Linked DNA regions of Oreochromis niloticus. The protein of the gene in region 1 purifies or fractionates together with the protein of each later gene. This does not show direct contact. Links are inferred from orthologs where the notes say so. Each region holds a gene or a part of one and is shown in the gene's direction. Other genes may lie near its edges.

Region 1 (3,752 bases):
CTATTAGCTCAGAGCACAATGAGGTTTAAAACCTGAAGCCTGAAGTGTCGTGAGGAAATACCATTCTTTAGCAAGACGCTTGTAGACCTTCTTGATCTCTGCCTGGCTTGCCCTCTTCGTTACTCCCAATATTTTGTATGGGTCCATCTCAGGCTCAGCGTAGACAAGTCCCGCCAGCAGCACATGGAGGACCGCCACAATGGCCAGTGGCAGAGACAGCTTTGACCGTGCCATCACAGTTACCTTCAACACATCAGAGGAGCGATCACCATTCATTTAAAGTGGGCAAAAAATGTTCAGGACCTATATTTTAGATGGCTTGCAAATCCGAGAAACCTTTCCCTCCATTAGCTTTCTGGTGATGGGAAACAGTGAAGGCAGGCACGATATGCTAAAAACAGTATTACAGCATGCTAACAACAGCACCCAAGCAAGCTAGGCGATATACGGCAGCTGAAAATCATATATAATTATGGTGTCATGTTACAGGGCCGTGACAGTAACGGTGTTCCTCGAGGATAAACCCTTAGTGTTAGTGGCGTTGCTACAGCGGTTGTCTCAACGCCACATCTGCACGTTTATAGTCACCTGAAGCAGATGCAGTCAGCCGGTACAACGCCACATAGTGGGGGAAGGTTTTGCCCCCTTATTAATGCCTCTTCTTGCTCAACGCTGATTCGAAGCGACAGCGAAATGTAAAGGGTGTGTTCAGCAGCATCCCACAGATCCTCCAGGGCAAGCCGATAACCTGCTGCTGCTGCTGCGAAGCTGGAGCGAGAGTAGAAAAAGGGGGTGGAGTCCGGTGTCGAAAGTCATTTCGGGAAATTGAGTGTTTTGTCGACAGGCTACGTTTCTTTTTAGTTGTGCGTTTGGTTTAATGCTCGTCGTACCGCGATTTTAGCTTCAGCTGGCTATCGGTCGCTACCCGCGCGGAAACGAACGCGGGGTAAATTAAATCTAACACACCCTCCCTTTTTTCTTCATCCGCCTTAAGTGGACCAATCACAGGCAACGCTGATGTAAACAAGGAAATAGCTTGTGAAACCGACAAGAAAATACGAACTGTAAACGACACTCCTACAACAAAGTACCCGTTTCACTTTTACGAAGAAGTAGATCATTGTGCTCCTTTGACGACATAGATTTAACCGTGATCGAAAACGAAATAACAAATTTTTAGTTACAGATTTTTTTTTTCTCTATTACGTTAGCATTAAATGGACAATGGATGAAACACACAAGAAGATTCTTCAGCGGAACAGGGTTAACCTGGTGACAGACTTGGATCCATCAAAACTCTATGATGGCCTTCTGGAAAAAGGAGTTTTCACCCAGGACATGATCGATGAGATACAGGTCGGTCATGACACTGTGGTTTTCTCTTCCTTTTTTTCTTTCTTTTTTTTTTTTTTTTGACCCGGGGCGGGTATAAAAAATTCATAATTGTACTCAATTAAGACTGTCTGCTATTATCAGAGCGCTGGGACCAGACGAGACCAGGCCAGGCAGTTAGTCCGGGACCTGGAAACCCGTGGGAGTCGGGCTTTCCCCTTATTTCTGGAGTGCCTTCAGGAGACGGGGCAGGAGAGTTTGGCAGAGCTCCTACAGAATGGAGCTCCAGCTGTTACCCTGCAGCCTGCAACACCCACTAAAGTTGTCCGCCCTGTAATCCAGCCTCTTCCAATTCGTAAGTGTATTTCATTATGGAATATTTAATGTGAGAGTCTTTAGAGCCAGACACTTTCAGATGATAAGAATTTGACTCATCTGTGTGTTCTTTGTTTCTTTAACAGCCTCTCCAGTTGATGATGACAATCCAAGTAAAGATGTTGTAAAGCCAAGTATCTCTCCTATTCCTAGTAAGCTATGCGATCCATTTAAATAACAGTCTTGTAAGTTTATTTGTGCTTAATGTCTATTAATGTGTGTGCCACAGCGCCTGACGGGTGGCAGTTAAGACCAGGACCAGGCAGAATAAGACGTGACAGCCTTCAGGTAAGCGCCATTTCTGTGCTGCACACTTACATGTTTATGTGACGGCCCTTTCTCTGTTTTCTTTTTACTCTGTGCGTCTCTGTGCCTTAGAGCTATAAAATGGATGCGAGCCCGTGTGGTCATTGCCTCATCATAAACAACATGGAGTTTGAACCTCACAGCATGCTGAAAAATCGCAAGGGCTCCAACATAGACTGTGAAAAGCTGGAGAGACGATTCAAGACACTCAACTTTGTTGTGGAAGTGAAGACGAACCTGAGACAAAAAGTAAGAATCGGGTCTTCTGCCTCTGTGTGTGTTGAAGGGTATTAAAGATTGCGGGCCTAACGGTTAACTCCACATTTCAGCAAATCAAACACGAGCTGTTGACTTTGTCCAAGAAGGATCATTCCCAGTATGACTGCTGCGTGGTCATCATGTTGTCCCATGGCACTGAGGTAAGATGTGCTGAGCTGATTGTGATGTTGTTTACAGTTCATTAAAAAAACATTGCATCCCTTCAGAATAATCAGCTGGAATACTCTGGAAATACACAGGATTTAATATTTTTACAGTTAATGTTTTAATATTTAACTGGCAAATGTCATTATTCCAGCAAGGCAATTTTCTGAGATCTACATCTGACTGGACTGACATGTAAGATGATTTTTGCTAATATTTCTGTCCTTAGGTGAATCACAACCGCTTCCCTGGTGCCGTGTACGGTGTGGACGGACAGTACGTACCAGTGCAGATTATCACAAACTACCTCAATGGCCAGCATTGCCCATCTTTGCAAGGCAAACCTAAACTGTTCTTCATCCAGGCCTGTGGAGGAGGTAGCTGTCACAGAACGCACGGTTTAAAAATTCATAGGAACAAGTGAGGTGTAAAAATGAGCTTGTGTTTGTCCCCAAGATGAGAGAGACATGGGCTTCGAGGTGTCCCCCGATGAGGTCGAACCATCCTCTGGTGGAATGGATGACCAGACGGACGCTATTCCGATGTCATCCAGCAGTGACTCCCTGAGCATGTCTGATGAACCGGACGCCAGACCCAGCCTGCCCACTCCGAGTGACATCCTGGTGTCCTACTCTACTTTCCCAGGTGCGTGTTTTGTTTTTTTTCTTTTAAACAAAAACAGCCTTTCAGATCTATGTGTCCTTAATACCTTTTTGGCCATGTGACCAATACAGGTTATGTTTCTTGGCGAGAGACTCAGGCGGGCTCGTGGTACGTCCAGACACTGGACTATATACTTGAGGAAAACGCTGCCACTGATGACTTGGTCACAATGTTGATGATGGTGAGCTTCTCTTAATATATCAGCAAAAATAACTGAGGACTTTAAGAGCTATTGGCTTTAGACACAGTGATGTCTGATTATTGACTCTTCCTGTTTTAGGTTAACAATGAAGTCTCCCAAAACTCTGCAAAAGGGCTCTACAAACAAATGCCTGGTTCCTTTAACTTCCTCCGCAAACTCCTCTACTTTCAAACCCAAACATAATGGATCAAGTGCGGTAGTCTGTGTCAGTTCCACATTTCACAGCACTATAACTTCTTTTTCAGCACAGTTGCAGTGTGTGTGATTTCTGACTCTGCTGTGAATCTGCTTTAACTGAATGGATCACGTCTTGTATTTTTAATATCTCTCTGTGTTTTCTAAGGGCTGATGGTTTCTAAATGAGCTTTTTAAAATACAGAACTATTACTGTGAAAATGTTATTCAGGTTATTTTTGTTTCACAGATACAGCAGCTGACCGAGGAAAGATAA
Region 2 (3,752 bases), on another chromosome or scaffold:
AACCAGGAAGCAGGACATTTTCTGTAAATTAATAGAAACCTTCTGTTTTATAATTACAGGGCAGCCTGGACAATGACCACCCAGAACTTTTTCTGTAATTTTACACATTTATTTCTTATATTTTATGCCCAAAGATTTGTGCGGACACATTTCTCTCATTTACAACAGCATTTCTTTAGCATGGAGGAAAACTAAGAAACACTGTTGAAATTGCATTCCTTTTTTATTATGTTAGGACATGTGTATTTAAACCAACAGAAAGAGCAATTTCACCGGTCCGGTCAACTGGGGATCAATACGTGCCACTCCTGTTTTTCATGTAATGGATATGTGGACTCCAACACTAAAGAAAAACCTTTCAAATGTGAAGGATTTTTGTTTTCTGTGATTACCATGAAAATTCATGGAAATAAATGCTTAATGTATATGTACCTTAACGATCATTTACAGTATTTCCCTTTACACACACACACACACACACACACACACATATATATATCTATATATATATATATATATATATATATATATATATATATATATATATATATAAATATAATTATATGTATAATCATATATATAATAATTATAAAATGTAATCCAATTATAATTTCTATGTAATTTTTTAAAGGTCAAAACATATAAACTAATAAATATTCATTCCTCAGTAGAAAATAAGCTTACATTTAACATCTTTTCTTGGCTGCATTTTACTTCCATATCTTTGAATCAGTCTGGGTTACGTTGTCTATTTGACATAAATACACATAGTAATAATAATAATATGCATATCATGATTTTATACCTGTGAAGTGATGGAGACTCTCTTCCAGCTGTGACTGATGTTTATATTCCCTGTGTGACCAGAGAGGGCAGGAGAGTTCAGCTAATCTCTCCCCGCCGTTCTGCCTCCTCCGCCGGGTTCCAACTCCCGCTCCGTCCCGCTCCCTGCTTCTACTCCCGCTCCGAGGTTTACCTCCAGCCTCTTTAGATCAATGGCTCCATACTCCAACAGGGTCTCTCGACCCTCTCTCTCTCCGGCTGTATAGCCCTACAGAGAAAAGAGAGAGAGAGAGTGGGTTCGACTCTTTCCCTCCACCCTCCGCCTCCCCCCCTCCTCTTCCGACCCTCTCCATCAGTCCTCCCCGGCAGACGGAGCAGACCTCCGGGAAGGCAGCGTGGATTTTAACCATCCTCTCATCTGTGTGAATGGGAAGCAGCAGCGAGCAGGAGTGATGGAGACTCTTCACTTGTAGTTACTGGAACTTATTCTCGACTCTAAAAGGAGGAAACTGATCTGCATTTGTGTATTTTGGAAATTCCTTTCCCTTTTTCTTTTCTTTGGGGGATCCTAGCCCGACTGGGGATCAGGGATATTTTTGGGGAGAAGAGAAGCTGTTTTACCCCCTCTCTTTCTCTCTCCTCACCATCCTCTTGACTCAACACACTGTGGGTTTTTTCTCCTTTATTTTTTATTTTCTTAATTAACTGTTGGATTCTGTTGAGGATTTAAAAACAAAAACAAAAAAACACTGAAAGAACAGCGGGATTGTGTGTGTGTGTGTGTTTCTGTGCTTCCACGGACTCATCGGGACTGGAGCAGGGCAGCATGGAGCTGGTTTTGGTTGGATGTACCGGTGATGTTTGGGAGGTGCTGGTGCTGAGGAGGAGGAGAACAGGAGGACTGTACCTGCTGGTGCTCTGCTGGCTGCTGGCTGCTCACACCACAGCGCACGGTGAGTGGGGGGGACATGCATGATTGCTGCCTCCATCCCGCAGTGTGTGTTTGTGCGTGAGTGTCCGTGCGGGCTCAGAGTGTGTGTGTGAGTGTGCGTGTGCCTTTGCTGGGTGCCGCAGACCTAACGATAATTGGCACATTTGTTGCGCGTCCCTTTTGGCTTTAGAGCCTCTGTTCTGACCCGGGTGGACTCGGGTCTGACCATGCGGGTTCCTGTATGTGTTCTGAGGCCCTGGAAGGTTTGACAAGCTTCAGCATGTGATCAATGTTGCCTAAGAGGTTTCTAGTTTTTTTTAAAATTATTATTATTATGTCTTTGTTATTACTTATGTTCCATTTTTACCTTCATTATAAGCTCCAGTAACCGAGTTACTGCAGTAGCTGTGAGACTGCTGGTCCTTCCCTCGGTTCTTGTGTGTTTCATGTGGCTGATCTGTTGGCTGACTGAGGGTTTGTTAAACCTTTCTGGATCTTTGCAGCTGGGTTAGACTGTCTGTGTGTTTTTGTGTTTTTTTTTTTTGTTTTTTTTACCTACAATCCCTTGTCTGCACCGGATTTTCTTCAATTACCTAAATTTTCAGTTATTACTATGCTTAATTTTAAATTGCTCTTTGTAAGTCTGTTTCACCTTCATTTCATAGTGCTGAAGTTTAGGCTGCTGGATCATATTGGTGTGTATTTTTAACTGCATATGCATCTCTTTACCAATTTGTCCCTGATATTTAGATTTAACTAATTAATATAAATATATATACATAGCTATATATACATATAATTTTACCAGGTTGCACTGAGTGTAAATAGTTTTTACTGGGCCTTAGCTAGTTTCTTAGAGTCTGATCATGTGCTAGCCTGTGGCTTTGACTGAATCTTTTTTCCCCCTCCTCTCTGGTTTAGTTTCACCTGATATGATTAAGTTTACAAGCCAGTGGCATGTTGGGCTGCTGGCTCTGATCTGCTTTTTCCAGGTTTTCCTCTCTGGCAGTCTATCTGTATATGAAACCAAGTGGGACAAGCAGACTGCAGTGAATCTTTTTAGTGGAGGATTATTTGTGTTTACCTTAATGTCCATTCGTTCCGGCTTACACTAATGATTGATTGGAGTGACTACTTTAATAATCCCAAAAGGAAGTGATCTATGAAAAACAAAAACAGAAATCCAACGAGACAGACAATTAATAAATAAATAACAGCTAGATAAAAAAAATCGAGTTTCAAGCCTTAAAGCAGGATCATAATCCAAACAGTGATCTTCTAGATTTCACTGTATTATTGCCCCAAAAATGCAAATAGTACGAATGCTGCTGTGCAGGGAGGTGCTATCTAGGTCTGGCTTTGACTAGGAAGCAGCACACTGTCATGAATATCACTTAAACACTAAGTGCCATCAGATATCCTAACATGTCCAACCCATCAGTGTAACACCCTCCTTCTTTCTTCTGGTGTTTATTAGTGAAGATACAATACGTAATCTAAATAAATAAATTGTATTACAACTAGATCTGTCACACATCTTGTTGTAAGCAGCTCATTTGAGTGAATTTTTAATTTAATCTTTGTTCAATAATGAAAATCATAAAAGCAAAAGAGCAAACACTGCAAAACCAAACAGATCAGAGAGAGCTGCTGGACTCGGGCTCTCTCGCTCTCTCTCTCTCTCAACCTCCTGCTGTCAATAAATTATGTCCAAACACTTTAATTAAGCTAATTGATGATATGAGAGTACACATTCACACAGACACACACACACAATGTAGCTGCTGGATCAGCTGAGCAGCTCTGACTCAGAGTGTGCGTGTGTTTATTTGTGTGTTGCTGATATTTCTTCAACAGCTCAGCCATAAAATCTTCTGAATATTTTACCCACACCAAGCATTTATCTGTGGGGAGGCTAAACACACACACGCACCCACACACGAACGCCTGACTCGCAAAACCTTCCTACACACCAATTCAGAAAATCTCCTGCACAGCTGAAGCAGGTCCTGCTCACTTTCACAGGTGAATCTGCCTG

The links. Proteins that work in one complex are often made in the same cells at the same time.
Region 2: the proteins of casp9 (region 1) and dcc purify together in Homo sapiens (co-immunoprecipitation; 3 studies listed by BioGRID and IntAct, with this or other methods). This does not show direct contact. The link is inferred for Oreochromis niloticus from reciprocal best matches to the Homo sapiens genes CASP9 and DCC.

What each region holds. Positions count from the first base shown.
Region 1 is NC_031984.2:26,304,311-26,308,062, forward strand, and holds the start of casp9 (caspase-9), read left to right. Parts: upstream 1-1,021; 5' UTR 1,022-1,224; coding exon 1,225-1,356; intron 1,357-1,476; coding exon 1,477-1,687; intron 1,688-1,793; coding exon 1,794-1,859; intron 1,860-1,936; coding exon 1,937-1,995; intron 1,996-2,085; coding exon 2,086-2,262; intron 2,263-2,342; coding exon 2,343-2,432; intron 2,433-2,665; coding exon 2,666-2,813; intron 2,814-2,892; coding exon 2,893-3,081; intron 3,082-3,170; coding exon 3,171-3,280; intron 3,281-3,379; coding exon 3,380-3,484; 3' UTR 3,485-3,752. Other genes in the region: dnaJ homolog subfamily C member 16, read right to left, coding at 62-234. UniProt on the Homo sapiens protein: Involved in the activation cascade of caspases responsible for apoptosis execution. Binding of caspase-9 to Apaf-1 leads to activation of the protease which then cleaves and activates effector caspases caspase-3 (CASP3) or caspase-7 (CASP7).
Region 2 is NC_031972.2:34,114,162-34,117,913, reverse strand, and holds the start of dcc (netrin receptor DCC), read left to right. Parts: upstream 1-1,146; 5' UTR 1,147-1,609; coding exon 1,610-1,736; intron 1,737-3,752. UniProt on the Homo sapiens protein: Receptor for netrin required for axon guidance. Mediates axon attraction of neuronal growth cones in the developing nervous system upon ligand binding. Its association with UNC5 proteins may trigger signaling for axon repulsion.